3 linked regions of the Daphnia pulex genome follow. The protein of the gene in region 3 purifies or fractionates together with the protein of the main gene of each other region. This does not show direct contact. Links are inferred from orthologs where the notes say so. Each region holds a gene or a part of one and is shown on either strand. Other genes may lie near its edges.

What was found.
Region 1: the proteins of mitochondrial intermembrane space import and assembly protein 40-B-like (region 3) and FAD-linked sulfhydryl oxidase ALR-like purify together in Homo sapiens (co-immunoprecipitation; 3 studies listed by BioGRID and IntAct, with this or other methods). This does not show direct contact. The link is inferred for Daphnia pulex from reciprocal best matches to the Homo sapiens genes CHCHD4 and GFER.
Region 2: the proteins of mitochondrial intermembrane space import and assembly protein 40-B-like (region 3) and cytochrome c oxidase assembly factor 7 homolog purify together in Homo sapiens (co-immunoprecipitation; 3 studies listed by BioGRID and IntAct, with this or other methods). This does not show direct contact. The link is inferred for Daphnia pulex from reciprocal best matches to the Homo sapiens genes CHCHD4 and COA7.

What each region holds. Positions count from the first base shown.
Region 1 is NC_060026.1:4,965,729-4,975,742, forward strand, and holds FAD-linked sulfhydryl oxidase ALR-like, read left to right. Parts: upstream 1-6,106; 5' UTR 6,107-6,134; coding exon 6,135-6,275; intron 6,276-6,440; coding exon 6,441-6,694; intron 6,695-6,752; coding exon 6,753-6,915; 3' UTR 6,916-6,987; downstream 6,988-10,014. Other genes in the region: E3 SUMO-protein ligase NSE2-like, read left to right, coding at 8,046-8,157, 8,222-8,400, 8,483-8,881.
Region 2 is NC_060019.1:6,008,092-6,018,245, reverse strand, and holds cytochrome c oxidase assembly factor 7 homolog, read right to left. Parts: upstream 4,841-10,154; 5' UTR 4,695-4,840; intron 4,634-4,694; 5' UTR 4,611-4,633; coding exon 4,511-4,610; intron 4,445-4,510; coding exon 3,855-4,444; 3' UTR 3,695-3,854; downstream 1-3,694. Other genes in the region: cytochrome c oxidase assembly factor 7 homolog, read right to left, coding at 4,955-5,544, 7,237-7,336; uncharacterized protein LOC124191332, read left to right, coding at 9,212-9,817. UniProt on the Homo sapiens protein: Required for assembly of mitochondrial respiratory chain complex I and complex IV.
Region 3 is NC_060023.1:8,612,080-8,622,683, forward strand, and holds mitochondrial intermembrane space import and assembly protein 40-B-like, read right to left. Parts: upstream 3,470-10,604; 5' UTR 3,308-3,469; coding exon 3,286-3,307; intron 2,583-3,285; coding exon 2,387-2,582; intron 2,323-2,386; coding exon 2,127-2,322; 3' UTR 2,042-2,126; downstream 1-2,041. Other genes in the region: uncharacterized protein LOC124197866, read left to right, coding at 135-265, 384-446, 542-622, 722-871, 951-1,393, 1,449-1,569, 1,641-1,745; actin, clone 403, read left to right, coding at 5,433-5,567, 5,803-6,033, 6,102-6,240, 6,317-6,424, 6,488-7,005.

The sequences.
Region 1 (10,014 bases), on a different chromosome or scaffold from region 3:
CTTGCTGTTGTCGTTTTTATAATAGCTTGAGAGAGCAAAAAATTACAATATAATACAACGAGATAGTTTAAAAAAAACTTTATCCTTTTTTTTTAGGTCGTGTAGCCAGGGTTGCCACCCGTTTCGGCACTTTTTTTGGCACTTTGAATTTTGGTGGTTTCGGCACCAATTTTTTCCGTTTCGGCACTGCGATTGTATTTTTCGGCACCGCCACCAGAGGTGGTCCTAAGTATTGGTATTTCGATGCATGTTTTCTTAGCCTTTTTTGTCCGTTTCGGCACTATTATTGTCTGTTTCGGCACCGTGTATATATTGTGAAATTTTGCCCACTTTGTTCTTAGACGCTTTATTATCAAGTGCTATATACATTTCTCAGATGTTAGATTATTTATTCATAAAGTTTATTTGCTCATTATCATTAGGGATGTCGATATATCGTCAATTTCAGATTTCAGGTGTATCGATATCTTATATCTATATTTTAAGATATATCGCTGCTCAGTATCGGTAAAAATGAAAATTAGCGTGATCTGTTCTCGTACTTCTTTAGAATTGAACTGAGTTTCTTGGCGTGTAAGCATAGTATTCAGCTTGAGTTCGGGACATCCGGGTTTGAATCTCTGATATAATATAATTTATTAGAGGAAATTCATTTTATAACTAAGATGCATATTTTATAACTAACCATGCAAAAATGAATGGTGTAATCGTAAGGTCGGAAATGAGATACATCTGTTTGTCTTATTTAGTAAATTTGGTACGATTTCTACTTGCCCTTCGTTCAGCTGAATAGGGACTCATGGCACAGTGGCATAGCATTCGACTAATATGCGGGATAGAAGGGTTCGATGCCTACATGAGACGACTGGGCATTCATTAGAATCGGAAGTCTACATTCATATCATCAGAATCGTTTTTACCATCTTTCCCCGTTTTTTTTCTTAAGATGACTTTAGAGATGAGAAGTAAGTTTCCTTTATTTGCCTTATTGTCTCCCACATCTTTGCACAAAACGCATTCCCAAACTTTTCTGGAGGAGTTGATGATGAGGTTAGTGGTGAATCTGTGCGGGTTGTGCGAGGCAGAGGTAGACGTGGTGAATTTAATGGAGGATATGAAAATCACCCCTAGATGACTTGAAAAATAATTTTTTGTTTTTGTGCCGAAACGGACACAGTTGGTGCCGAAAAAGACACAATTTGTGCCGAAACGGAGAATATTAGTGCCGAAACGGAAAGATTTTTTTAATGAACGAGGAGATTTTAAATACAAGGGGGGACCAAGCGTTTTATATGGGTGCCGAAAACGTCAAAATAGAAAGTGCCGAAAAAAGTGCCGAAACGGGTGGACACCGTAGCCAGTTTACAAAAATAAAGAAAAACATGCAACCGTGTTAGTCCTTGAGTTCCGCCAATGCATAGCACATATAACTTTGAGTTATTATATGGTAGTTATGGTGACTCTCCCTTAAGCTGCATCGCTGCCTCCGTTGTTTACCTCGCCGCTGCCTCCCTCCATCTTCCACGTTGTCCCTGGCCCCATGTCTTACCAGAACGGCGTTTAAGTTGTGGCCTAATAAAAGCCCGAGCCCGTCGAACAACAAGGATACACAATGATTATATTGAATATGGGGAATAAAGACGGAAATCAGCTCAATGGAAAAGAAATACATTTTTTTAAACGATCTCTTTTTCTTTAAATGTTAATTCTTAGATAATAAATATAGCAAATTCTTTTCGCTTAAATTTGTTCAAGTGACACATATCAACTCATACACTCAAGCCCAGTATGTTTTAATTTTGTGTTTCTATTTGTATAAATATTATTTCACCTCGTTAACCTTCATAATTTTTCCTTATTTAAAAATGTAACAATTCACGTTCCTTGCGATGAGTGTCGCAAACTGCAGCTGAAATTACGAATACGAAGCAGTAGCACAATCTTTCTTTTGTTCAGGTTTGTGAGGAGCCGTATGACTGATAGCAACGAAGTCGCAGAGCTGAAGGAGGCAACAACATCCAACAGGAGATTTCACTCATTTCAGACTGCATAGTAGCCTACTTTCAAATTTTATATGTTCATCCACACACCTGGAACTTAGCAGACCTTTTTTCTTAGCTGGTCGTCGTTTTCTTGGTTTTCTTTTCTATCTAACCCCACTTTTGTGCCAAATACGTATGTATACGTAGTTCCCAACATCATAAAGAAAAGTGACAAGAAAGAGGCACAAACTGCTATGGTACATATATTTCCGTTGGGCAAACTTGTGTCGCACGGAAACGCGCGAGGAACGCGCGCTCGTTTCTGACGAAAAGGTTTATGAATTGAACATTCAAAGGTGGAATAGACACAACACTTGATCGTCAAGTAAGCTCAACAATTATCTATTTCTTATACCTCTCCTTGTAAACAAGTCAATGGTAAATAATTTATTACCGTAGGCTGCTATAGCGACGTGCAATTTAAACGTCTAATTGAGTTTTATGTAGCTAATAGTTCAGACTTATGCTTACTCTTCTACTCAAATCAGCATGAAGTGCTTGGTACGTAGCCCAAACAATTCGCCTCTGCAACGCATATCATTTAACCACCCTGAAATTGAAATCATTTGTCTGTTGTTTGTTTCCTTGTAGATGGTTTTGGCTGTTTTGGTGGCTGCCGTTGCCGCTGCTCTCCAGTACTTGCCTTATGCCGGCTTCACTGGACTTCCCTACGCCGCTGCTCCCGGAGTCCTGGTTTCGCATATGCTGGTTATAGCGCTTCCCTCGGCTACACCGCTGCCGCTACTCCCGTCGGCTATATGCTGCTGGCGCCATCTTCGTGCCATGTCGGCGCTAGAGTCGTGGGCTCGTGGCCAAGTACGAGCGCGAGTATGAGCCCGTTGAACAACATGGATACCAAATCGCTTAATTAATCGTACTCGAATGGAGCAATAACAGCTTTAAAAAACGACCAGTTCTTTAAAAAAAAAAAAAACAGCAACAGGCGATTAATAATAATATTAGCTTTATAATATTGTCACGTACAGTTTAGTACAGACGTCGAGCTTAGAGACAATTCTGGGAAATTACGATAAGGGGACGACTGACGACGATGACATAAGGTCACCTTGGTTCCCTCTACTTTAAAGACGACCCCCTGTAGACTTAAGGTAGACGAGTTTGGCCCTGACTGGTGTGTGGGTCTCCCGTTTTGACTGGTGTTGGGCACTGTCGTCGGTCTGTAGTGACGGCAGTGCATGTGCTTTGGCGGAGGCTGGGCTCGTGCAATCGTGGAGCCAGCTCCGTGAAACTGCAGCACTGGTCGGCCACAGCAACATGAAGCCCGCATAGGCCCGGCCGTGACATTTGGTGGAGATGCAGGGTAGGCGGATGCTTTCACGTGTGGCTCGACCAGATGCGTTTAAGTGAGTTTTCGAACGATCTCTTCGTTATCCTGATTGGACGTGGGCGACCCGTTGGAGACAGCGATTCGAAGACGCGCATTGGATTGCCCTGGATGGAATAGCTGACTCCCAGAAATTGACGGACAACGGCTTGCGTTCCGTGGCCTAAGAATAAGTTTTTTTTTATGTCCAGTTGTTTTTTTTATCGTTGTCATTGAAATACGCGAGTTGTCAGCATGCTAGCTTCTGAGATTGAACTGTTGAAGCGCTATTGAGAATCTGCTGATATTCGGTCTTGTAATTAACGTTACGCAAAAATGGCAACTAGAGAAATTCGCGGGGCCAAATATTTGGGAAATAATGTTTGCGTTCGATTGAAACCGTTAATTTTGATCTCAAGACTATCACAGGGTTAGTTTCAGCTGTAATTACGTTGTTGATCTGAACATCAGTCAATTATTCCCAAGTTCTCACGACGGACTATTGTTATTCGTACGTTGGACCCACGTTTTTACATTAACGGGAGCGTATACAAGCGTGTAGTGTTTGGGAGCATGGGATAGCAACGCGCGCTCGACCGCGCGTTTTGATGTGCGATTTCTGGCTCGCTCAGGAAACAACGCCACTCGTGCTTAATTTTGTCTGCGGCGATGTGCGAATTCTGTTAGGCCGAACCAGGTCGAGGGATGCTGAAAACTAATGCGAAGTTATTTCGAATCATCCTGTTTTTATGGTCCCTCCGATTTTGTATGGATTTCCAGAGTTAAATGTTTTGGGAGATTCCGTCTAACAAGCGTTAAGCGTCCGTTTAAGCTGAAGTAAACTGCGCGACTGAACCGATGTGATGTTGATGTATGAGCGAATAGAATTTATGTGTTTCAAAGGATTTTAGATGCATCTAAGCTAGCGGCTGAATTGGGATTGTGTATAGGCCTAATAAGATGCTGAAGCTAATAACAAAAAAACCACCAGTGTTTTTGAGTCTGTTTCAGGTAGAATGATAGCCGATGGAGCCAGATGTGACGGATGGCGTTCGATACCTGAAGTGAAGCGGTGGGACGGCCAATAACAACCGGAATGTACCAGAACGGATGCAAATGAACCAAGGAGCTGCCGGATCAAGATCGCGGCGAGAATAGCCGAACCGAAGTCGTGGTCGGACTGACGTAAGGGTCGTGTTGAAGCATAGTGCAGAGCGCGGAGCAAGTCGCAGAGCGCAGAGCACAAGCGTGCAGAGCGCAGAGCGCAAAGCAGGGCGCAGAGCACAAAGCTGAACACAGAGCCCGGAATTGAGTACAGAGCTCGAAAGAAATGGTGGCCACCAAGCGCGTCGCGAACCATGGTTGAGAGGCCTCATTAGCGAAGGCAATGATTTCGCGAAAGTCTGTAGCTGCAGCAGTGCGCCGTACGGAAACAAAAAGAATTGACCGAATTGAACTGCGGAGCGTCCTTGCGATTTCCGTAAAAGTTTATACAGTTGCGTAGAACTGTACAGGGCGTCGTCGTACGAGTGAAACAAACGCTCGCCGAAATAAAGTCGTATAGTTGAGCTGCGTACAATTATGTCACAAGCGGTGTGACCGGCACGTCGAGTTGCGAGAAAGTTATCGAGCGAAACAATCCGAAACCGTCGCCGAATAAAAAAAAAATACCTAATGCGTCGTAGATTTAACCTTCCGCCGTATACGATTCGGATGATCGAGGTCGATCATTCCATTAAGGAGGGGAAAATGTCATGTACAGTTTAGTACAGACGTCGAGCTTAGAGACAATTCTGGGAAATTACGATAAGGGGACGACTGACGACGATGACATAAGGTCACCTTGGTTCCCTCTACTTTAAAGACGACCCCCTGTAGACTTAAGGTAGACGAGTTTGGCCCTGACTGGTGTGTGGGTCTCCCGTTTTGACTGGTGTTGGGCACTGTCGTCGGTCTGTAGTGACGGCAGTGCATGTGCTTTGGCGGAGGCTGGGCTCGTGCAATCGTGGAGCCAGCTCCGTGAAACTGCAGCACTGGTCGGCCACAGCAACATGAAGCCCGCATAGGCCCGGCCGTGACAATATTATTATAAAGCATTTAAATAATAATAGCTAATTATTTATTCTGAAAGTTTTACTGGTGACGTAGTAGGCTGCAAAGCTACATAAACCTTGGAAGCCATCTATTTTTTACACCAATATATGATAATGTCACAAAAGATTGGTCCAAATAAACGATCTGATACATTACTTATTTTTTATGGAATGTGCATTCGAGTACGCTAATAATAAAACACCTATTCTTCTTAATTTTAGATAAGAATTGCATCATACAGAACGACTGAAGATAACAATCGCCGACTAAAACTTCAGAAATATACAGTACAGTTTAGATCGTTTACGTCGACACACTTACACGATCTACCGCGGCCCGTGACCAAAAATTGCTCCGAATCAATGTTGATACCTATTCTCTGATCATTTCGAACCGTTGGGGCACTTCAGTAATCAGTTGTCAGTTAACAACAATCAGTCGATAATGCCAAACTCCTTAGTCCTTACTACGAAGACGCGGAGAGAACAAAAAAATTCAATATCACCAGGAAATAGTAGTAAACATGGCGAATTGCAGTAAAAATTTGAGCGGTAAATTTTTTTGTTACTTTGGCGCTTCATAAAACTTGTCATAGACGTATCTCTTTCAATTGATTTGAAAAGTAGCGGGAAAATAGAAAACTCAGCTCCATCTGCTGGGGATTTGAATTGAAAATGGCGAGTCAACAAAGCGAGGATTTTTCCCCCCACGGAAATAAAGGGATAAAAAAACCTTGTCGAGCATGTTCAGATTTTAAAACATGGACTACCAATTTAAACCAAAATGCCAATGTTCAGGAGAAAATGAATAGTCAGGTAAACTGTTATGTACTATCTTCTTTTTTTAACTACTGCTCTTACCCAATCATATCCTTTTCTAAGTTTTGTTAGGATGCATCAAAGGAACATTATTACTGTTACATTACTGAGATCCTCAAAATGCTAATTAATCAACTTCCAATGTTTTTATATTTTGAATAGATTCCTCAATCTACTGCTGCTGAAACAAAGTCAAGTTTTCTGACAAAGTCTTCACACACAGTAGAGAAAACATTTCCAGAATGCCCCTTGGATCGTCAACAATTGGGCAGAAACTCTTGGAGTGTTCTCCACACAATAGCTGCATATTATCCTGAAACACCTACTGTTGATCAACAGAAGGACATGGTTCAATTCATGGCACTGTTTACAAAATTCTATCCATGCACTGATTGTTCTGAAGATTTCAAAGAGCGGTAAGTGAAACAGCTTATTTGTGAAGAAAACTTGCTTACAATTTTTGTTTTCCTATAGATTGATTGCAAACCCACCTGCAACACAGAACAATTTTATACTATCTCAGTGGCTATGTGCCATGCACAATGAAGTTAATGTTAAGCTAGGGAAACCAGAATTTGATTGTAGTTTAGTTAACCAGAGATGGCGAAATGGATGGAAGGATGGATCATGTGATTAGCTTGTACAATGTATTCTCTATCATTCAAAAGTGTTCCTCTATGATACAACAATACACTAAATTAATATTTTGGATTCTGATGAAATCTGATATATTTCGCTGCATCTGGATCATCATCTCTTTTAACTGTAAATTTAAACATAATAATAGCATTAGTATTATACCACAATACACCTACTGTATATCCTGACTTTACCTATATAATGATCTTTAAAAGGTCTTGATACTTCCATCTTCGACGATCGATAGACTCCATAACTAGCTAAGCAAATCCCTTTATAGAAAATAATCATGTAGATGTCATGTAGAAAATAATGTGTGTCTACTGTGTCAATGATAAATTGGTTTAACTGTGTGAATTATTTAGAAACATTACCCGAAATTGTAAGACACATTCCTATCATAATATCAGGAACCTCGATACATCCTCGTCGAAATAACTGAACGACTGTAAACAGATCAGATTTATACTTGCATTAGTAATTTTCGTACTTTTTAGAAATCAAAATCTCAAGTCAGATGTGCAAATACTTTTCGAACTGGATTGAGCAGCAGCCATGACTTGTTTTTTTTTTAAGTTTTTTTCACGAGGAAACTCTTCGTCTTCGCTCGAGATTGCTTCGGTATTCAGCGAAGGTGCTGCAACCTAGGTTTCTTAACCCACACTATAGATTTTCGACTTTCGGCTGACAGTCACTAGGCGGCTCAACAGCGCTGCCCTCGCGCTGCCCCCTTCCAGGTATTTAGGTCGTTGGTATTTGCCTCAATTACCTTACGTTTCGTAACAGAAAAACAGTTAATAATTAAGAAAATTTTATCTAGACCGGCGCGCCACAAATTACAATAAGAATAAGCATTTTTCAACCATGATTGCATGCAGAAGGTCAGAGAGATTTCTAAAAAAACATGTTTTCTTATTTTGACCGTTAGATGGCAGAAAATAAAGAGGGAGAAATACAGAGGTAAAAAAAGTGGGAGGAGGTAAAAAAAAATTGAGTTTTTAAATTTCAATCCTTTTGCTCACTAAAGCTGAAGTCAGTTACTAGAAGAATAATTGAAAAAAGTAAAATCTTCACCTGATTGTCATAAAGTGTTTGATAACAACCCTTCAAAGAGAAAATTTTACCAAAATGGATCATAGACTTCCAGGTCCTAATTCAAACATAGCTGAAAACATTAAACAGGCAAAAGAAAAGGTCATTCAAGTTTACGACATGCTGCCAAATTTTTGTTCAAATGAAGGTATACATTGAGTTGGTGCACATCAATTTTAAACTTTTCTTCATTAGTTGATTCTTACATATAGAAATTCCTGAATTACTGGATGACCTCCGAAGTGTAATGAAAGACTATGTCTTGCTCGACACAAAATACAAAGACCTTAAAACAAGCAAGCAGAAAGTAATTCAGTTATGCACTGAAAAAGTGAAGAAAGACATTGCAGAGGGTAGAGAAAGCTCAGTTGCTTTCGATGAAATCAATGAAGTAAGACTTTACTTATTAAACTTGTTAATCTATGGAAGCACACTTAAACAAGTTTTAATCTTTTATCTGTTCTACTGTTTAGTTGTTGAAAAATACTTTGAGAAATGAAATGGAGAAACATCATGAAGGGTTTTTGGAAAAAGATCCTTTGTACATCACTATGAAGAATTTTGGTGAAGATGAAATTAACAATGCAGAAGACCAAGCAATGAATAATGAAGACGACCTGGCAGTCACTGGAGAAACCATTCAGACAATTGATCCTTATTCAAAGAAAGAATTTTCTGATCCTGTTAAAAACCTGAACTGTAAACACACATATGAAAGGGAAATCATCATGGGACTGATAGCAACAAACTCGAAAACCCGATGTTATTGGATGGGATGCAACAATCGGGTGGCTATTAGAGCTGAACATCTCGTTTCTGATGATGAACTGAAACGTTACATAAATCGACTGAAAACAAGAGCGGCCATTTAATTTTTGTTGGTTATTTGAATCCATTCCGCGAAATTTCTTCTCTTTGTACATGTCGTTCTTTCTCTTTTGAAAAGAGGAAGAAAAAAGTCTTTTTTAACACAGATAACTCTAAAAACCACTGTATGCATAAAGCGAATAAAGGAATTTTGAACCAGAGACGATAAAAGATTGAAACAAAGTCTAAAACAAATAATATTTATATTGTTCAATCAAAGGTTTAATTAGTTCTTCATAATGAGGATTGTAAAGAAATAATATTCTCAGATCTGATCAAGTGAAGCAGGGGTGTGGAGAGATGGTTGCCAATGACCATGTTAAATTTCCCATAAGGGGATTCGACGGGAAGCTACTTATTTACTAGCGACTTTTGTGTGGAGGCATAGGGAGGTCTCTTTGAATCAACGCCATCTAGGCTGTTGCGACATATGGACATACAAAGAGACCTTTTAGTAAAATGAGCGAACGACCCCTTTTGGGAAATTTAACATGGTCATTGGCAACCATCTCTCCATACCCATGACTATAGTAAACTAATAGGTTTTTTTCGGGGGTTCCCAAAAAATTGTAATATTTTTTTTTAAAATGAACATTATTTAAACTTACTTTCTAAGTAAGTACCTGAAAACAGTACGAAGTCGAACAATAGTCTTTCAGAAAATACCACTAAACATTTGTAGCTACAGAGTACAGACCATTTTTAAATCTAAAGGTAACCGCAGAGCAAAAAGTCGTGCGACTCGTCGACTAGTGCGCACCCTAGTGGTGGTTTGGGGTTTGGAGAACTGCTGCTGCAAGTTTTTTTTATTCCGCTTACGAATCCATTTTTGCTGTAGGCTGACCTTTTTTTTGGTCAACTATAACACGTGACTAGCAGACCAATCACAAGATCTGTCCATATGGGTAATGGTTTATATGGGAAAAACGGGTCTGATACTGATACTCTGATTATAACAATTATTCATTGATTCTTTAAATAAATGAACTGAAAACCTAATGTACATTATAAAAATGTGTTCAAAATTTTGTTTACTTTCATTATCATTTACAATTTTTAACAAGCGATCCGCCACTCAAAGAGACCGTTTTGGGGGGTTTTTCATTACGCGGAAATCGTCGCTGGGGGTTATAAAAAT
Region 2 (10,154 bases), on a different chromosome or scaffold from region 3:
ATAAAATCTGTACTATTATTTGCTGCTAGTCGTTGTAATTTTTTAATAAATAATACGTAAAGTGCACTTAACTTGATTATATTGTCCATTAGAACACATATATGACATATTAGTTAACACATGACATACAAGATAACACCAAGTCAGAATTGAACACAACAGTTGCATATTGAGTAAACAATTAAATCACTGGAGAAATTGGATCAATGGCTCTTGAATTCTCGTTGGATGATGAAGAATGTGTTCTTTTGCAATTTCCAAGGAAAAAAGAACTGGGAAAGTAAATTGCAGGTTTTCTCGACAAACTCTTCTTCCTTGTTTCATGAGTTGTTTTCAAGCCGTCAGATTCATTTTCAGCTGCACGTTGATCCATTTCTTTTGCCTGATTCCAGTAACCTAAAGTGAAATAATTGAAATGTAGTTATTTTAAAAATCAGATAAACACAGAGTGTCAGCAAAGGAATATAACATCATATCTTTAATGCAAATGTCACTCATGAGTGAACTTACCAAAGACTAAGCCTTCTGTATTGATACTCGGTCCAGGTATCTGGTATTACATGATCCATGATGCTATTCATCCTTTTTTGTCCCTTCAAGTGGGACGGATACTTAAGAACATCCTAAGCAATGGCCACCTCTCTGAGACTATTGAAATCAGATAAACACACAGTGTCAGCAAAAGAATATAACATCATATCTTTAATGCAAATGTCACTCATGAGTGAACTTACCAAAGACTAAGCCTTCTGTATTGATACTCGGTCCAGGTATCTGGTATTACATGATCCATGATGCTCTCCATTCTTTTTTGTCCCTTCAAGTGGGACGGATACTTGAGAACATCCTAAGCAATGGCCACCTGACTATTGAAATCAGATAAACACACAGTGTCAGCAAAGGAATATAACATCATATCGTTAATGCAAAATGTCACTCATGAGTGAACTTACCAATGACTCTAAGCCTCCTTCCTGTATTGATACTCGGTCCAGGTATCTTCTGGTATTACATGATCCATGATGCTCTCCATTCTTTTTTGTCCCTTCATGTGGGACGGATACTTGAGAACATCCTAAGCAATGGCCACCTCTCTGAGACTATTGAAATCAGATAAATACAGTGTCAGCAAAGGAATATAACATCATATCGTTAATGCAAAATGTCACTCATGAGTGAACTTACCACAGACTCTAATCCTCCTGTATTCATACTCGGTCCAGGAATCTTCTGGTATAACATGATCCATTATGCTCTTCATCCTTTTTGGTCCCTTCAAGTTGGACGGATACTTAAGAACATTCTCATCAATGGTCCACCGCTCTGAGACTATTGCAAGTTCTGTTCTGTCTTCCACAAACAATTCTGCTAATATATACTTCCATGAAATGGCGGTTTTAGTCATTCCAAGATCCTATTTGTAAATAAAATACAGTAAGTTGTCGATTGTGAACATCTCTAATGTATAGAAGTAGCGTGGCCTTTATGATAATCAACCGGCATTTGCTTAGCAAAAGTATATACTACGATACACTTAAAATTTCTTGACTGAAAACAAAATATGTTGTAATTCATTACATAAGTAACAAGTGTTCTCACCTTTTCTGTGCGAAATATTGTGAAAAAATCAATTTTTAGATGGCATTAACGAGATCAAATCCGCCATTTGTTCAAGTCTTTCTTACTAATTCCGTACAAGCTATAGTAGACAACAACGTCGCCAGATGAAAAATTTTTAATTATAAAAATTAGTTCTGCTTTTGCACCGATAATTAATGAGTTCGTTAATTTTTTTAAATTTTATATAATTTTGAAATAAGTTGTAAATGGTGATTCAAACATTGTATAAAAAATTAAGTTTTTAATTCTACGTTTCAAACATGTCAATACTGCAATTTTCTTAACTATCGATAATTGGGACTTGTCAAAATTACAGTTGCATTTTTTAATGGCGTCCGGATCAGTCCTTTTTGACACGTAAAATTAGTGCTTGGCTTTCATTACATTAAAAACTGCACTTATTACATTGCCCTGGACTTAATTGATTGTGAGATCTTTATTGTTGCAGTTAAAATAAGGTAAAAAAATTTAATCAGCACTTGTCATTCATGGAAATGATATTGATGAAATTTTTTTTAATATTTTGAACAGGTGTTTTTTATGATTATCTAAAAAGTAAACACATCATACTTCCTATAAACTAGCCATTGAGCTTTTAGTGTTCTGTAAAAAATAAACTCATCCTCAGGTACAAACAATTGGAGACAATACCTCATAGATGTAAACCTGATTTAATACTCGTGCTGTTTGCTTTTAGATTTAGAGGTTGCGAGTCCAATTGAGGCTGGATAAGTTGGCTCTTTCAGAACATTCTGTAAACTTGCGAAAGACAAGGACTGTTGGAGGTAATAATTACAATAGTTGTCTACCGTTGTTATTCAAGGTTTTCTTTAACCTTTCATTTTTTAGTAGGCATGTCAAAATTGTTTAAGAAGAGGAAAGAAAATGTCAAACCCCGTCAACTGCGCCATCGTTTTTTGCACACCTTGACAAATGCCATTGAAGAAGAAACGAACGTGAGCTGGGGGATGAATTTATGACAGAGAGCGGCTTTATGGGTGACGATGAAGAGGAAATATCCTATGATGACTCCAACAATGACAATGTAGAGTTTTTCTCCGTTCACCAAATAGAAAGGGATGATAGCCTTCGACAGAGCACTGTAAGCCACGAATCATTTTATGAAGGACTAGAATCTGAATATGATTTGGAAAGTGTCGTCAGTGATGAAGGTGTCCCTTTAGAAAGCTGTGATTCATCGACATACAACTCTTCGGACAGCGACTCAGACTATGCAACTGAGAAGAATGAAGTCAACGAGCAAGACTTCCATCACGCTGATATTGAAGAAATCCTTGTAGATGACAACGATGTCGATGGTGCTACTGAGTTACGAAACTTCTTGGCCACCTTCGTAACGAACAAAAATCTCTCCGGGAGTGCTGGGAATTATTTGTTGAAAGGATTAAAGGCTCTGAATCGAATTCAATTTTGTCTATCAAATATGTTGATTGTCTTTCTCCTACCTTACAACTATGGCCAGTAGCATTCATTTTGCATAAAATTTTTCTTGTACCAAATGTTTTTAATTGTGAAGAGGCTGAAGAAGGAGGTGAACGTTATGTGGCTTTTCCACTTCTCATGGAAAATAAAATTGAGTGAATATCAATACATAATCAATTCATAGAAGAAAAGTTGGTGTTTTTGAGTAAATTTATCATTCAGTTTTATTAAACGTAAAAAATGTCAAAATTATTATAAAACTAGCTTGTTCGTATTTGTGCGGGATTTGTGAGCAGTAAGAAAAAGTATACATTTTGGGAGTGAACTGAGAGTGATATGTTCACTCACAAAACGAGGGAAAAAATGTGTGCGGAGATTTTTGACGTGTTCGTGTTTTGTTCACTATCTGGGAGAACTCGTGCTAGCTGGGAGGTAGGCCATCATACACAATGTTTGTATTTGTCAACTACTGGTGGTATCGAGAACTGGAGTACTCTGCGGAAGTCTGAACAACAGGAGCTTGACATTTCGAGACGTATATAAAATGATAATGTGTTTCTGTTTTTGTGTACACAAGGTATTTGCATAATACCATTATTGGGCCATCGCAATTTACCAAAAAGATCGGAGACTTCATAAAAAAATTTTTTATTTCTTTTTTCTAGTTACGTTATTGATTATTTCCTCGGGTTTTTAAAAGTAATTTAATAGTAATGTTCAGGACGAGTACGAATACATTTCGTTAAACTATATTATTATTATTTTTTTACAATCAACACAAATTGAACATCTTAGGCTCCTCTTTCCATTTCAATAGGTTTAAACTGACCTCTCAGCTCTTTTTCCATTTCAAAAACCTTTTTCTTAAATTGTAATGCAATTTCAGCATTCGGCTCTACTCCATCACCTTTAGTGTACATTCTGCTAACATTGGCACAAGCATATATATTACCAAGATCACAAGCCTTTATGCTGTAATTGAAGGCAGAGGTCATGTTTTTTTCTAAAACTTCAGGTACACCAGTCAAATACATGCCACTAAGATAGTAGCAGCCATTGTGGTTCCCCTTCTCACACGACTGGTTCAGAAATCCCATTCCTTGTGGGTAATCTAGTTTAACTTTAATTTTTTCATTGTTGGCTGTACACATAAGGCCAGCATACAGACAAGAATCTGCATCTCCAAAATTGCACCCTTTCTTAAAGTAATCAAATGCTTTTGATGGGTCTGCAGGACCACCTTTACCAGTTAAAGCATAAGAAGCAAATTTATGGCAGCTGCGGCTGAATTGGTAGTCATCACATGTAGATCTGTACAATGAAGCTGCTTTGTTGAAATCTTTTTTGATGCTTTCCATGAAATCTCCCAGAAGGTGACATACTGCAACATACAAATCATTACGTCATTACTTTAAACGTGATTTTGGTCACGAATACCGGCACTTACCTTCCGGTTTCTTTTCGCTCAAACATCCAAACCTGTACTCAGTTCCTAAATTGTCCAAGTACTGTTTCACCTCTTCATCAGTTTTTAGATCCCACGCCATGACGGAAATGTAAATATTTTCTTCTGAATTAATACAAATGGAATTAAGATTTAAACTTTGTTAGAATGTTACATCATTGGTTACTTTGAAAGTTGATTTTTCGTTTTCGTCTGCAAGGCTCACAGACTCCATCTATGAAGAGATTTCCATGTTTCGTTGTAATTTGGAAGGAGATAAAAAAAAAATAATAATTTAATCTAAGAAGGCATAATTAAGAAGAAGTAGAAACAAAAGTATTTAATTAAATTTTTATTCAAAAATCACATTTCTTTTTCAAAATATTAAAAAACACAATTCAAACTAAACTCTCGAGTCTCGAGTCTCGACGTCTCAGACTCTCAGTCTCAGGCTTCCCTTTCCAGTTCAACGGGTTTAAATTGATCTTTCAGTTCCTTTCCCATAACAATGACTTTTTTCTTATATACATTTGCTAATTCAGGATTCTTCTCAACTCCATCACCTTTTTTGTACATTCTGCTTATATTTGCACAAGCATATATATTTCCAAGTTCACAAGCCTTGTTGCTGTAGTCATATGCTGTGGCCATATTTTTCTTCAAAACATCAGGAACCCCGAAAAAATATATCCCACTGATATAGTGACAGCTGTTGTGGTTTCCTTTGTCACAGGACTGATTCAGAAATCCCATTCCTTGAAGATAATCTTGTTTAATTTTAGTGTTTTCATTGTCATACATACACATAAGGCCAGCAAAAAAGCAGGAGCCTGAATCTTCCAAATGACAGCCTTTCTTAAAGTATTCAAATGCTTTCAGGTAGTCGGGTGGACTACCTTTACCAGTCAATGAATAGGTAGCATATTTATGACAGCTGTGGCTGAAACTGTAGTCATCACAAGTGGATCGATATATAATAGCGGCTTTTTTCAAATCCCTTTTGAAGCCTTCCATGAAATCTCCTAGAAGATGGCATACTGCATCAAACAAACAAACAAACCATTAAGTGTGTGAACGTGGTAACATTGGTCACGCCTATTGCACTCCGGAGTCCGGAGCGCTCTAGTGTCAAAAGTGGCTATTGCACTCCGGAGTCCGGAGTCCTCTAGCGTCAAAAGTGGCTATTGCACTCCGGAAAGGAAATATGAAGTCAAATATGAAGTCATTTATGGCGACGAATGGCAAATAACGACTGATTCTGTGTTTTTACTGGTTTTGAATTCATTAAAAATTAAATTAAGGGTAAGAAATAAATTTGCAATATATTTATAACAATCAAATATATTTGAATTTCATTAATAAACACAAATAGCCATTAGCCAGTATAAAAGATGGGACTTAGTATTGTTAACTTAGCTAGAGTCGGAGAGTCCACCATTGAATCAGTACCTTAGATTCAAATTGCAAATAAACAGGAATAAAGTAGAATGTATAAACATATCAATTCAGGGTGATGTTTCTTGATAAACATTTCAACTTCTTGCTCTATTCTCCTCGGCGTTTGAACCCAAAGCAACCCATCATCAAAGGACGAGGCGCTTCCATATTCCGCTCTTAAAGGATCTTTGATTGACGCCGCCATATGTGCCAATTCTTTCCCCTCTTAAATCAATTACTTTTTCATTGTCAGTTCATTCATGTGATGACAAAGCACCGAGTGAAACTGAACACGAAAATACCAAGTATTTTTTCGCACTCACAATTCAGTTAAAATGTCTTTTGATATTCTCACTATAATAAAGGAAACTGCATGTTAACTTAGTTATGTATTGTTTTGTTTCAAGATATGAAAGACGTGTCTAGCTGTTAGTTTATTGGAATAAGGGACACGGACATTGCATGGTTTATAGCGTGAAATCAGCTGAATCACACGTTACGTGTCAATCAGCAGAAATAGTGAGTTGCTGGTCAATGCGTTTCAAGGTCACAAAGAACCCCTCGAAGCCCCGTTCTGAGAATTCCGGCTCGACCTTCAGGCAAGTATGGGGGTGTCAGAGGGTGACTCACTATGTCGTGTGTTTATAGCGTGTTTAACAACCTGTCTAAATCCTTACTTTGAATATAATGATCTCTGTGTAATATAAACTGCAATGAAATACAGAAATACCTGATTTCCAATCCTTTTGGTGATATTGATATCGAGGCTTATGAAGAATTTTGTGTGAGTAGGAATTGTGGTAACACCTTAGCAAATAGAGCAAGAAGTTAAAAATGTTAACAAGAAATATCACCCTGAATTGATATGTTTTATAAATTCTCCTTTATTCCTGTTGCAAGACACTTAACTATATTTACAATTTGAATTTTAAGGTACTGATTCAATGTTGGACATAGTACTCTAGCTAAGTTAACAATAACTAAATATAAGTTCCATCTTACTACTATCATTATCCGACTATCTGTATTTATTAGTGAAATTCAAATATATTTGATTGTTATTTATTTTGAATTCAAATAAAAACCATTCAAATTTCAAAACACAGAAACAGAATGCCATTCGCCGCCAAATGAAAGTACTACATGTTTCCTTTCCGGAGTGCAATAGCCATTTTTGACGCTAGAGGACTCCGGACTCCGGAGTGCAATAGCCACTTTTGACACTAGAGCGCTCCGGACTCCGGAGTGCAATAGATTTTACCGGTAACATTGGTCACAAATACCGATCTCACCTTCAGGTTTCTTTTCGTTGAAACATCCAAACCTATAGTCGTTTCCCAACTTATCAGAGAATTGTTTCACCTCTTCCTCATTTTTGAAATTCCATGCCATAACAGAACTTGACGAATTTGTTTTTATTTTGGTACATGTATAATAACACAAACGTTTGCGGGCTTGCGGCTAGGGACTACTTTATTTTTCGTCTGCACTGCCAGACTGCGCGCTCCATCTGTTAAAGGACTAGCATTATTGTTAAAACGCCATCTGTGAAAGGGAAATTTCAAGTCGTGACATTTTTTAAAGATTAAAAAAAATCAAAAAATGAAATTATTCTTGGACATGTGCACTCTAGTGCTGAATTATTTATAGATCATGGAAAAATATATTAATTTTCTTTTTAAAATTCTGCTGAGAAAAGAAAATACTGCAAAGCCCACGCGTGTCTTAATTACTAATTGAAATTTCTTCCTTCGCGAACGCACGATCCGCGTCGTCACTTTTCCGCGGTAACTAGAGTCGGACGTGATTTTGCATCTTATCTGGTCCATTTTTACCCACAGGTTACGTGCTTTGTCACGCTTACAATAGTGGCGTCACAAATATTTTTAAAATGAAAAAAAAGGGAAAATGTCTTGTTGAAATGAAGCCAATCCAGTAAATACCGGCGTGCTCACGCAAACGTTGAAACTTTTTTGTAATGGACGACCAACTTGGCAACTAGAGTATGTTTATTAGGGTGTTAAGTTAAGGGTGAATAATTTTTTAAGCCGAAAAAGTGAAATCTGTAAAGTTATTTTGGGATAATAGATTTTCACGGAGATCGCTTCAATCAGAAAGCGTTATAAGACAACGAATCGGAAAAACAAAACGGAAGTTATCCATTATACACAACTGCCAACCGTGGTAAAAGAATCAAATGCATTGAGGACTTGGGAAAACCGCAAAACGGATGTTGTTGAACGGTCAGCGGCCTAGCGATTCTGCGATCTGCTCCATTGTCGTGCTACATCATAAATTCGTTTAGTGCCTCGGTTTTCCCTCTAGTGCCCCTTACCGTTCAAAACGGCAGCAATTTCTGTACGTGGCGCTGAATTACCTTTCTCAGAGCTATAGATACCTGGTCAGTTCATGGCTGTGTTGGCTTCCCTATCCCGGATTCAGGGTAAACGTAAGCCGATTTTCAGGGGGTTTTAGGGCGGAGCTTGTCAGAAGTTGTGAAGTGGAAGAATGAATCAGCGCCATCTAGTGATAAGACGTTGAATACTTTCGGCGGCCATTTTTGTGTAATATGTGAATACGGCGGCCATCATCGTGTATTACGTGAATGAAGCCTAACCATAATTTCTGTAAAAATGGTTGGCAGGTGTGCTGTTCCTGGTTGTAAAACAACATATTACAAAGGAAATCAAAAAGAAAATGATGTAACTTTGTTTGCAGTTCCTAAAACTTCATTATCAAAATGGCAAGAACTAATTCCATGTAGCAATTTGACGAGCACCTCACGTATTTGCTCCCGTCATTTTGACGAAAGTGACTTTAAATCAGGGATTTAAATTTTTAACGTGTTCCATCCTTTCCAACGTAGGCATCTTAATGCTGGAGCAATTCCCAAACATTTTCTCATAAATGGTATGTATTTCCTTTCCTGTAAAATCTTTAATGTCACACAGAAACTAAACCATTTTCATTTTAGATACAATCTAGCCGACAAGCAATGTAAAATGTTGATGGTTTTAAATGGAGAAATAACCTTAATGGTATTTTTACATATGTTTATTTTGTTTAACATCAAATAACGCTATTCTTAAATATGTATTGCAGTGGAAGCAAATGCTAGCAATGCATCAGTAAGGAAACGACCAAAAGTAGACAAACCACCTACTACGTCAAAGAGAAAAAAAGTTGACAGTACAGGTATTGATAATAGTTCTCTTTACATTTTATTTTGAAGAGCAATTGCTTTAATTTTATCTTATAGCACCCTCCATGGAAGTTACCTCTACTATTCAAGAAACAATCGACATTCACCAGGCTGCTGAAGAAGGAATTGTTGATCCACTTCCTGATTCAAGCAAAGAAAATCTTGCTGTTGTCATTGAAGATACGACAGTTGCATCGCCTTCTATGGAAGCTACCTCTACTATTCAAGAATCAATGGACATTCCCCAGGCTGCTGAAGAAGCTATTTTTGATCCACTTCCTGATGTAATGAACAAAAACGTTGCTGTTGTCATTGAAGATTCGACAGTTACATCACCTTCTATGGAAGCAAGCTCTACTAATTTCAAGTCTAATTTTGTGACATTTCAGTCACTAGTAACTTTATCAATGATACCAAAGAATTGGATATGGTCTTTTGATCAAATCAAACAAATGATTTATTGCATTTCGATGGATCAACTACCAAATGGAAATTATAATGTGAAAAGTGTACATTTTCAAAACAAACAAGAAGTAATGTATTATGTCAACGGAAAGAACATTCCATCAAGCACTACTGCTTTGTCAAACCATTTCACAACAGTTGAAAATATAACGCAATTGATAAAGGATTTCAACGATCGAAAAATTTGTTCATGCATTCCTCATTAAAGGTTCATAAATATTAACTTTTAATCTCGTCTTTCTGGTATATTGGACTCAGCTGGCGTGTTAAGATCGAAATATTGCAGAAAGAGAATAAAATTCAAAGTAACTAAGAATAAAACGTACCATGTATTTACACCACATATTTTTTTTACACAACCAAACAATAAAATGTAAAAATGTGAGGACACTTAAAAAGATAGGACACTTAGAAGTTAGATAAAACTTAGAGGTTTGACAGTTGGATACTTCTCCTTTTTATTATTGTTTACTTCTTGTAGAAAAGTAAGCTGTGATTGGCCAATGAGTTTTTCATAGACCCTTCCTGATTGGCTGGCTTCAC
Region 3 (10,604 bases):
CGGTCACGAAGGAGCTCACAGGAAGGGGCGCGCGACCTAATAATGAATTGGGGCTAACACATTTTAATTATCGGAATCGACCAAATTGTTTTCGCAACTCTTTTTAAATGCAAAAACAAAACAAAACAAATCAGTTTCAGAGACGAGCGACCTGGCCGAATTGCGGGATAGCGTTTCCAAGCTGTGGAAAGCCCTCAGGGAATTGGAATCTGAAGTTCGTGAAAGTTTCGACATTCACGCCGCTATAGAAAATCACGAACACCAGGTCTAGTTCATTTACGAAAATTGGTTCTCTAACGTTACATTACCCCATCTTCACGCCATTTAGTTTCCTAGCTGCTAACAAGTAAAAAAATATAACCACCCCCCAAACTTTTTCACAGGTACATCATCTGGGTCACGAGGATAATGGCCACGAGATCCACCATTCCGAACGGCATCTGAAGGTTTTTCCCCCCTTGCTGAGCTATAAATTTTATTTTAAGATTTTATTATCACGAACCAATCCATTAAACTCCGTTCGCTATTTCCTCATTTTTAGCATCTCGAGCAAGTCCACGGGCGAACGGTAGCTGGGCCAGCCGGCATTGAGCCCCATAAACCACACACTCCCGACGAAAAGGTTCTCTGAAACTGCATTATTTTTTTTAAATTGGAACTTATGGCAAAGATAATCTAATTGGAATACTTTCTCATTTTACGAACGCCGTAAAAAAAACAGGAAGTCCTTCGCCACGAACACGAGTTCCATCACGCCAACGCAAGTTTCGAAACGGAGGAAGAACACAAAGCCCATCACGATGAAAAGATGTTGAAGCATTTGGAGCTGGACCACGGCCACGGAGAGCATAACGGCATCCACCACGGCAAAGTAATTACTATACTAAAAATAGGATAAAAATATTAATGATACCATTTGCTAATCAAATCTATACTTACCTCATCTCCAGATGAATAAGGAGATTGAGCATGAAATTGACGTTCATTTCATGTTGAGGAATCACGACGGTCACGCTGCGCATCACAACGAAAATCTGCTTAAACATCTGGAAGATGACGACGGACATGGACCAGCAGCAGATCGGCCCAAGCCAGTAACGACGCCCAAACCACCCAGGGGCTCCAAGACTTATCAAGCAGTTTGCGAAATGAAGCCGAATAAGGCCCTGCAGAGGACTAAACACAACATCGTTGGCAAAGTCGCTTTCACTCAGACGACGGGTGGCCCTCTAAACGTTCACGTCAATCTAAGGGGATTGCGTACAAACGGGAAAAGTCTGCACGGATTGCACGTTCACGAGCTCGTCCCAGATGAGGATGGCAATTGCAACCAAGCTGGAGGACACTTCAACCCAACTAGCTCTGTTCACGGAGGACCAAAGTCTCGTACAAGGTATTCTTTTTGTTTCCAGGATGACACGACGTGAAATCGCCATTTTCCGCTTTAGGCACGTTGGAGATTTCGGGAACGTGGAAGCTATTGAAAACCAAGGTATTAACGCGATGTTTACCGATTCTCTCGCGACGCTGATGACTGGACCTAATTCCATTCTACACCGAACCCTTGTGGTAACTGAAACCTAAAATGGCGTATAATTTGAATAAAAACTTAAATCTGTTGTTACCTAAAAAAAATCTAGATCAAAGAGAAGGAGGATGATTTGGGACAAAATCGTGATACAGAGAGTCTAGCCAATGGCAATACTGGCCGTCGTTTGGCTTGTTGCATCATTCGAGCTGTTTGAGGAAGATTACTGAATTAAGGTGAATTACAAATTATTTCTACCTAATGGGAAACGGAGAAATTTGAGTTCACATTCGCTACTTAATTAGTGGCCTTTAATGCTTCTTCACGCCATTGCTGATCGGCATCTTGTCTCCTTCACAGCACCTTTAGGGTCGAAATATTTCTAAAAATTTTGAGTTTAAATACAAAGTTAAATGTTTAAGCGCATTTGTTCTCAAACCGAGTTTTAATTTTTTTTTTGCAACAGAGAAGCGTTTTTTCTATCCTTCTACCCAAGGAACTCTGTAGACGACGAAGAAATGACTATGTATAGAATGCTATTACATGAGATGCAGCAAATTAAAACACAATTTGTAGCTCTAAATTCCTATAATGGACATCATGTTTTTGCTTGAGCTTCAGATTTTGAATCTTCTTTTGAGGGTTCTTTGCTCTCTTCTTTGGGCACTTCGTTTTCTTCGTCCTCCTCTCCTGATGGCTTATCATCGTTCCCATATAATGTAGGATAATTGGACATGCATTCTTGCATCGCCTTAAAGGATTCAAAGCAGTCACTGCCCTTGGGTTCAGCATCGCTATAAAAACGAAATACATCATTTAGTAGGCAAATAAAAAAGCAAACTGAAAATGTGTTATCACCTATAATGGAAGCAACTGAATGCTTCTCGGAAATCAACTCCACACGGACCAGTGGCCATTCCTCCTAAACACGGGCAGTCCCAGTTAATATCACCATTTGGCAGCATAAGACCTGCTGGCTCATCTTCATCGGGGAAGGTGAGTGTGCTAGGTTTCTGCAAATCCTCGGGAGTTAGAAAGACAATTTTGTCTTTTCCTGCAGAATAATTAAAAAAATGTTTAATGCTAATGACATTTAAGGTATAAGTGAAAAACCACAAGTTCATGACAGAGAGAGACTATCAAAGTACAGCAAATCAGACACCAGGGACTGTAGTGCAGAAAATTTTATGCCAGATATAGAAGGAGTGGATAATGCCTCAGCCACTACTTCAACACAGTAGAAATTGGGGCTCAAATGAGAGCTGCTACATTTAAGCTGTGTTTACTTGGAGAAAGTGTCAGATGATTTTTAAGCTTTACAAAAAATGTTGGTTTCATTGATGGAGATTACATAACAATTTTTCACCGTTTGAAACATTGTCTAGTGTGCATATTTTTAGTGAGAAATCCAATAAAGATCAGCAAACAAACAAGCATTTTTCAAAGGAAGCATTCTTAAATTCAATGAGATTCAGGCTTGTTCAAAATATGTATAGTTCATAGTTTTTAAGCTGAGAACAGTTAGGATTGGATCGAAGTGGGGCACTGATTTAATCAATCTGAGTTTTGATTCTCCAGTTTCTTTGCTTAATAAGTACAATTTCCAAAACTCTATCAAGATTTTAAAAAATCTAATCAACAAGAACTTTTGTATCTATACATCTACTTACAAATGTCGTTACTTTAGTGAATGGTGCGATTAGTCATTCGGTTATCTGAATTACCAGAGAGAATAAATAACAAACTTTGTAACTTACCTTCTTCTTTGCAGTAAGACATTTTTCGTTTATGGCACAAATTTAATATTCGCAATGAATATTCAAGAAAATTAAAGGAAAAAACCGGAATACCGGCGAAAACTATGATATTCTCACGTGCAGAGCTGACGGCTAAAAGCGTTAAAAGTATTTTCGTCTGAAGTCACGCGATTTGAACGCCACCTGTGGACCAGAGGCTCAACTCGTATATAAACCATGTGACATTTTGCGTCGTCATTTTCCGACGGAGCCGGTTGAATACTTGAATGAAGGTGCAGCACTGAAATGCTTATCTTGATGTTTCTTGAATGATGCAATCCAATTTATTGTGGAACGGTACAACAATTGGGAACTTTTGGACTAGACGACCGAGCTTAATTGTTTGGAACAGGAATTCTTGGGAAAAATGAGGAGAAATTTAGGAGAAAATCTCAGGGTCTAACTGTGTCAGCTAAATGATTTGTGCTAGAATGAACTGAATTTTGTTTTGTCTTTCTAGCTTTTTCGCATGTACCTTCAAAAGTCGCCAACGCATAACGCATTGAAATTGTTTATTCCGTTAAGCTTAAGCCAGCTGTCATCTGTAAGGCGTCTCTAGTCGTCTGAATTGAAGCCGTTATATTTATAACACGCAATTGATGATCTCAAACTCGACGTTAATTTTCTGTTACAACAGTATGATGCAAACGCTCTAATCTTAACAGGAAAGGAATTTTGGTTTGCCTACAATCTCTTCAACGATAGTTTCATATTTGGAGCAGGATATGGTAAAAACAAAAGGTATCTATAGATGTCAAAATGTGTTGCGTTTATAAGGACACGTGTAGGCTTGTTGATAGAAGGGAGTGTAGAAAAAGCGGTCGGGTGGGGTTTATCCCTAAAGGTGGGAGTGGGACTTCCCATCCTCTTTTTCAGCGACAAATTCATGACCATATAAGGCAACGGAAAAGCAAGAACGAACGAACGGGGCAACGTAAATTCCAAGCAGAATTCACAAATACCAGACTTCGGCCCTAGGTTAACCCAAATGATGCGATCGTATCGATCGCCGTGGTTGTACGCCAGCGCCCCTAGTGTCGGCTACAGCAACCCAATGTTTAATTAGCTTTAGGTGACTGTTGACTATGAAATCAGCCTCAAATTATCTATTAATTCATTCAAAGCGATCTAGCTTGAATAGTTACCATATAAAATATCAAGTTGACTGTTATTTTAAAAATTTGCGATTTCATGTTAGGTGGCGCTTTTAGATCGAAAGTTGGGGTGGCGTCAGTTGCAGCGTTTCGGCCTTAATTTCTCGAAGCTCCCCACGCCGTAGCGACAACGTTGCAAGATCTAAAAAGGAGAAGGAAGAGGAAGGGACAGAGAAGGGCATAAAGGGAAGGCAAGCGTCTCATCGCCACGTTATTGCTTGCGGTGCCGGCTTTGGTGTAACTTTGCTTTCTCCGGTAAAGGCCGAATTTTATTTCTTTACATTTTTTAAACATTGCTCGTTTTTAGTTTAATTTAATCGATAGAAAACGTGTGCCATTGCATCTAGTTTGTCTTTTTGTGTTCGTAGAAGCGTGTCATAGTCGTTGTTGCGTCAAAATTCAAATTGTTTCTCCCCACTTTGTAACCGGCGTCTCTGTGAGTAATACGCAGCCATACGCGAATCAATAGGGGTCCACACCCCTCGAGGAAAACGGAAAAATCCGTTGGGGGAATCGCCATTTTCTCCCATTGCCCTTGTGTGAGACCGGTGTTTCCTCTGTCGAAATTGTTTCGCTGTTTCTATTCCCATAGCCTTGCTAGAGATTATTAGTCCTTGGACTTTTGACAGTTTTAATGGTTTTGTGCATTGTGGCATTATCCAAGGTGATTGTTATCTCAGATCGAGATTTAAGTACGTGGGTGCGGCGTCGCCCCTATCTTTTGACAAGCCGTCTGATAGTAGATATGATGCCATGAGCATTTCACAATGTCTGGCTTGGGCAATGACAGTTTTTGACAGATTGGATGAGTTGTCCTACTTGGCCTTTCGTAACTGATAAGAAATAGTTTAAAGTCTTCTCTTTATAGCTTTATACAGTTGAACTGTTTTGTGAAATGAATGCTCATTCTAAATTTTTCTTTTGACAGACTAACCTTAACCTCCCAGCTCCAACATGTGTGACGATGAAGTAGCAGCATTGGTCGTTGACAACGGCTCTGGCATGTGCAAAGCTGGCTTTGCTGGCGACGATGCTCCCCGCGCCGTTTTCCCATCGATCGTCGGACGCCCCCGTCATCAGGGTGTCATGGTAAGATAATTAGATAATTAGTCCATCAAAAGCCAATGGTGTAATTCAATAAATATTTTGCCGAGTAGTAGTGGGGGGGGGGGTTTATGAATATTGATCCATCACTGCTACACTGCATACTCATCTTATTTTCACTTTAAATCAATACCTCTGCAGTGGGAGGGTGTTTTTTGGGGGATTTTCAAAATCCTGAGTAGTGGGAAAATGCTCATGCTTTTCATTTTTTGGTATTTAGGTCGGCATGGGCCAAAAGGACTCGTACGTGGGAGATGAGGCTCAATCCAAGCGTGGTATCCTCACTTTGAAGTACCCAATTGAGCACGGAATCGTCACCAACTGGGATGACATGGAAAAGATCTGGCATCACACTTTCTACAACGAGTTGCGTGTCGCCCCTGAGGAACACCCCGTCCTCTTGACCGAAGCTCCTCTCAACCCCAAGGCCAACCGCGAGAAGATGACTCAGGTTTGATATTTTTTCTTGTTATTAAATCAATTAACCAAATTTACTAATAAAAAATGTTATTATTCTAGATCATGTTCGAGACCTTCAACACCCCGGCCATGTACGTCGCCATTCAGGCCGTGCTTTCCCTGTACGCTTCTGGTCGTACCACTGGTATCGTGTTGGACTCTGGTGATGGTGTTTCCCACACTGTCCCAATTTACGAAGGTAATTTTTTTTTTCCCAATTAATCACGAAACAATGGAACACGAAATTCATGGCTTATTTGTTTTTCTCATTCAAGGTTACGCTCTGCCCCATGCCATCCTACGTTTGGACTTGGCTGGACGTGACTTGACCGATTACTTGATGAAGATTTTGACTGAACGCGGTTACTCCTTCACCACCACTGGTATGTTTTTAACATTATTTTAAATGTATGCCAATTTTATTAAATTTGTATTTAAATTTTCAGCCGAGCGTGAAATCGTTCGTGACATCAAGGAGAAGCTTTGCTATGTCGCTTTGGACTTCGAACAAGAGATGGCCACTGCTGCCTCCTCTACTTCATTGGAGAAGTCTTACGAACTCCCCGACGGTCAGGTCATCACCATTGGCAATGAGCGATTCCGTTGCCCAGAGGCTCTGTTCCAGCCTTCATTCTTGGGTATGGAGTCTTGCGGTCTGCATGAGACCACCTACAACTCGATCATGAAGTGCGACGTTGACATCCGTAAGGATCTGTACGCCAACACTGTCCTTTCTGGCGGCACCACCATGTACCCCGGCATTGCTGATCGTATGCAGAAGGAGATCACTGCTCTTGCTCCATCTACCATGAAGATCAAGATCATCGCCCCACCGGAGCGCAAATACTCCGTCTGGATCGGTGGCTCCATCTTGGCTTCTCTGTCCACTTTCCAACAGATGTGGATCTCGAAGCAAGAGTATGATGAGTCAGGCCCATCCATCGTCCATCGCAAATGCTTCTAAACCCATTCGTCACCAACATCACCACAGCCGATACTTTGTAGTCACCTGGCGCAATAAGGTGGTGAAGAGGCTGATGAATGAAAGAGGGGAGAGGAGGAGGAGGAAGAAGAATCAAGATAAAAATCCACCTGGTTTCACACGTGCTGTTTTTTTTCCTTTCAGTTTAAAAGCAGTTTCTTATAATTTTGTTTCCACACAAATTTTTTTTTTCCAATCTCCAAACTCCTTTGTTTCCTTCATTTTGCGAGTAGATTATCGTGACTTGGTGTGTTTGTTAGCTGTTGACGCCTACCTACCATCATTCCGAAAAAACTTTTTTTTTTTCGTTCGATTTCCGTTTTTTTTTTGGAACAAGATAACAAAAAAATTCCTCTAGCCATTCCCGCAAACAAGAGCCAGCCTCTTTGCGCGCAAGTCACTTTGAGGTGTGCGTGTGTCTGTGTGTATTTTCCCCCCTCCCGTTTGAGAGTTGTGATAATAAAACTCTCGAAAGTTCCAATTTCTCGTGTACTTTATATTTTTATTGAAAGAAATTTTAACTCCAGGAAGTGAAAGTCGAAACCTACTGAAGAGAATGGGAAAATTAATGATGATGAAATTATAATTAGAAAGCATAGAGAGCCATCTAGGGGTCATGAGTGACACGGTGACAAATTGTGAGAAGGCCGAGTTGCACGTGGTTTGTGTCTTGAGAGGTAGTCGATTTTCCCTTTTTAGTGTCCTCAAGTTCATTCTGAAAAAGATTTCTAATCACAATGGAATCATCTCTGGGCTGTGTGTATGTGTGTGTTCCATTGAGAAAAAATGAAGCTGAGAGAGTCTAGCGACACTGACGAATAGCAGTCATAAAATGGGTTGAAGATCCTACCTGGTTTGCTTCTAACTCTTCAGTTGTTCTTTTCATCTTCTTTTTCTGCCCACCTGGAACAAATTGGCGGAGTGAAAGGGGGGATAGATCTCAGGTAAGAAAAACTAAAAAAGATAAATTTCTATGCACAGTTGTTGGGGAAAGACACACACACACACACACAATAGGTGACGTTTTCGAGGGGGAAAATAGGAAGCCAACCAACATGTTTTGGGGCTCAGTTGGCCCATTGCTTTTCAATTATCTTCTACATTCAAAGTTTAACTCTGATATGTCTATACATATCAGTGTTTTTTTCTTTTCTTTCTCTGAGTTGTACACAGTAAAGTGTGTGTGTCTGCTCTCTCCCGGGGTGGGTGGGTGTAAGGAAAACATCGGCAGATGTTGACCGTTGAATAAATATGTTTTTTTTTCTTCACTCCCCTTTTTCTAAGTCGAGAAAAAACATGGACAAAACTGCTTATTTTTTTTCTTCTTTAACCGGCTTATAGTATATAGCCCTGGGATTTTACTTGCAATGTGTTTTATTTCCCTTTTTTTCCCTAGTAGATTTGGTAATAATACACGATGTGAACGTCTATGTATTTTATATAAGAAAATAATTCATTCATTCGAATTTCAGATGTAGCAGAAGAAAGAAAAATGTTTTCCAGTCGAGTAAGTCCCGTCTGCTGCTGGCTGTGATGGGTTTATCCCCAACGGAATTTTAATTCTCAACAAGTTCCTTCTTTCCCTTTTTTTTATCTCCTTGAAAAAATTTATCGTTCTGTCTAATAGTTTATGTGGACCAAATAGGAAGATAAGATGGAACTTATCAAGATGGAAAACAAAAAAGCACTTGAACTTTTTTTTTCCTGACTCGCCGCCCACTACAGTTTCTGCTGGTATCGCTCCCGATAACACACACAATCCTCCTGGAAATCAACACCATTATAGGAACCGTCTCTCAGCACCAGCATCGTCGCAGAGATAGGAAATGTACATATTTATACACTGGGTGGGCCACCACCACCCATCTCCATCTGTATGTGAGTATATAATTTCCCAATCATCGTTTCAAAGAGCACGTTCCATACGAGATAATAATGCGGGTGATAATTAATTTGAATCATAACGGGATCACAAAATCTCTGAAATAAGATCTCAGGCGAAAGTTGGTTAGAAAAATATTTTTTTCCCCCGGCCTTGGTATTTTTCGCTGTCCAATCAGTGGAGAATTTGAAACTAGCGCAGAGTTACTTTCATTCCCATGTTAGAGTTATTCCAGAATGAGGAAAAGAAGCCAAACGTGTTATTCGTGTCAACTCGAATAGTGTGTCGCTATATTCCTTGTTCTGATTAGAGCATGTTGTAGGCCATTGCGACTCTATTGGGTATTTGGTGTAGTTTCTGATATGCAAATTTTTCAGGAGAAAGACATGAAAATGTGTGGCGAAACTTTCACGTTTTCTGAGTTTGTTTCCACCTTAAAAATGCTAATGTGTGAGAAAAAGAAGTCGAAGGAAAATTTTCATTCAATGAGAACATCATCATCTTTGGATCGTCACTAGAAGAGAAAGCGTTCGCACACCGGCAATAGCCGGTGAGAGTGAAAGCCTCCAAACTTTTTTTTATTTTTTAATATTTTTACATTAGGACAATGATATTATACTTTACAGCATGTTGCTAATGATGATGGGCTAGCTCTGGATATAGTCGGCGTATCCAATGCTTGTGTCTACCTATTGAGAATATTCGTCGGAAGTTATACAGCGTCACGGAGGTATATTCAAATTGAAAGCAGATGTTTCTCTCTTTAGATAAAAAGAAACTGCCACGGCGGATAAAGAGAAATTGTTGACCGTGTCAAGTCGCGTAGGAATAATAAAAATAATAAAAAAATACTTTTGTGATATTCTTCCCTTTCTCGTAGATGATGGGGCAATCAACACCTGGGTGCTCATCATCAACCCCCCAGCTTCTGATTAGAGAAAAGGTGTCGACGGACTAATACAACACATGGTCTATAGCAGCTCGGCTGGCGGTTGATGAGAAACTTATGGTCCGTTTTCTTTTTCAACCGACGGCCAAAAATTCTTTTCCCACGGAATGGCATGGAACGGCGGCGGCCGTTCATCATCATTTGGAGATTTGACCCACAAATAGCCGCAGCTTTCGACAATATACGACCGACCACAATCAATGAAAATGACGAGACGCAATCTCCTCGGGAAATAAAACACAACGCCAGGTAATAATAATATCTCGTTCTCTTTTTTTTTAAAGAAAAAATAGTCCCAGTGTACTACTTTTACCAACCAGCTCCAGGGATGTTGGGGAAAAATCTGCATATTTCTTTTTCCAGTCACAGGGAAAAGGTCACTCAATTTTTTCAGGGCCTAAAATTAAAGAGAAAAAAGCGGAAGTGATTAGACGCGATCCGTGGTGCAACCGCACTGACATAATTGGTGGCCGAACGGTTCTTTCAAATTTTTGTCTGCTTTCTCTTATACTATTCTTCTCTCCCCCCCGAACGGGAAACGAGAGTCGGCAGTGTTTCGTCCAGTTCAACGGAAATGCTCGTCACTCATAATGTAACACACCGGGCAGCTGTGTGTGTGTGTGTTGTTCGACACACGCGCGCCGCGGATTGTTACGGACTAGTGAACCTTTTTCCAGGAGGGACCTTTTAATATATATCTAAAATAAAATAGATATGTACAGCTGCCCTACCCGAATTCAATGGCGTCTA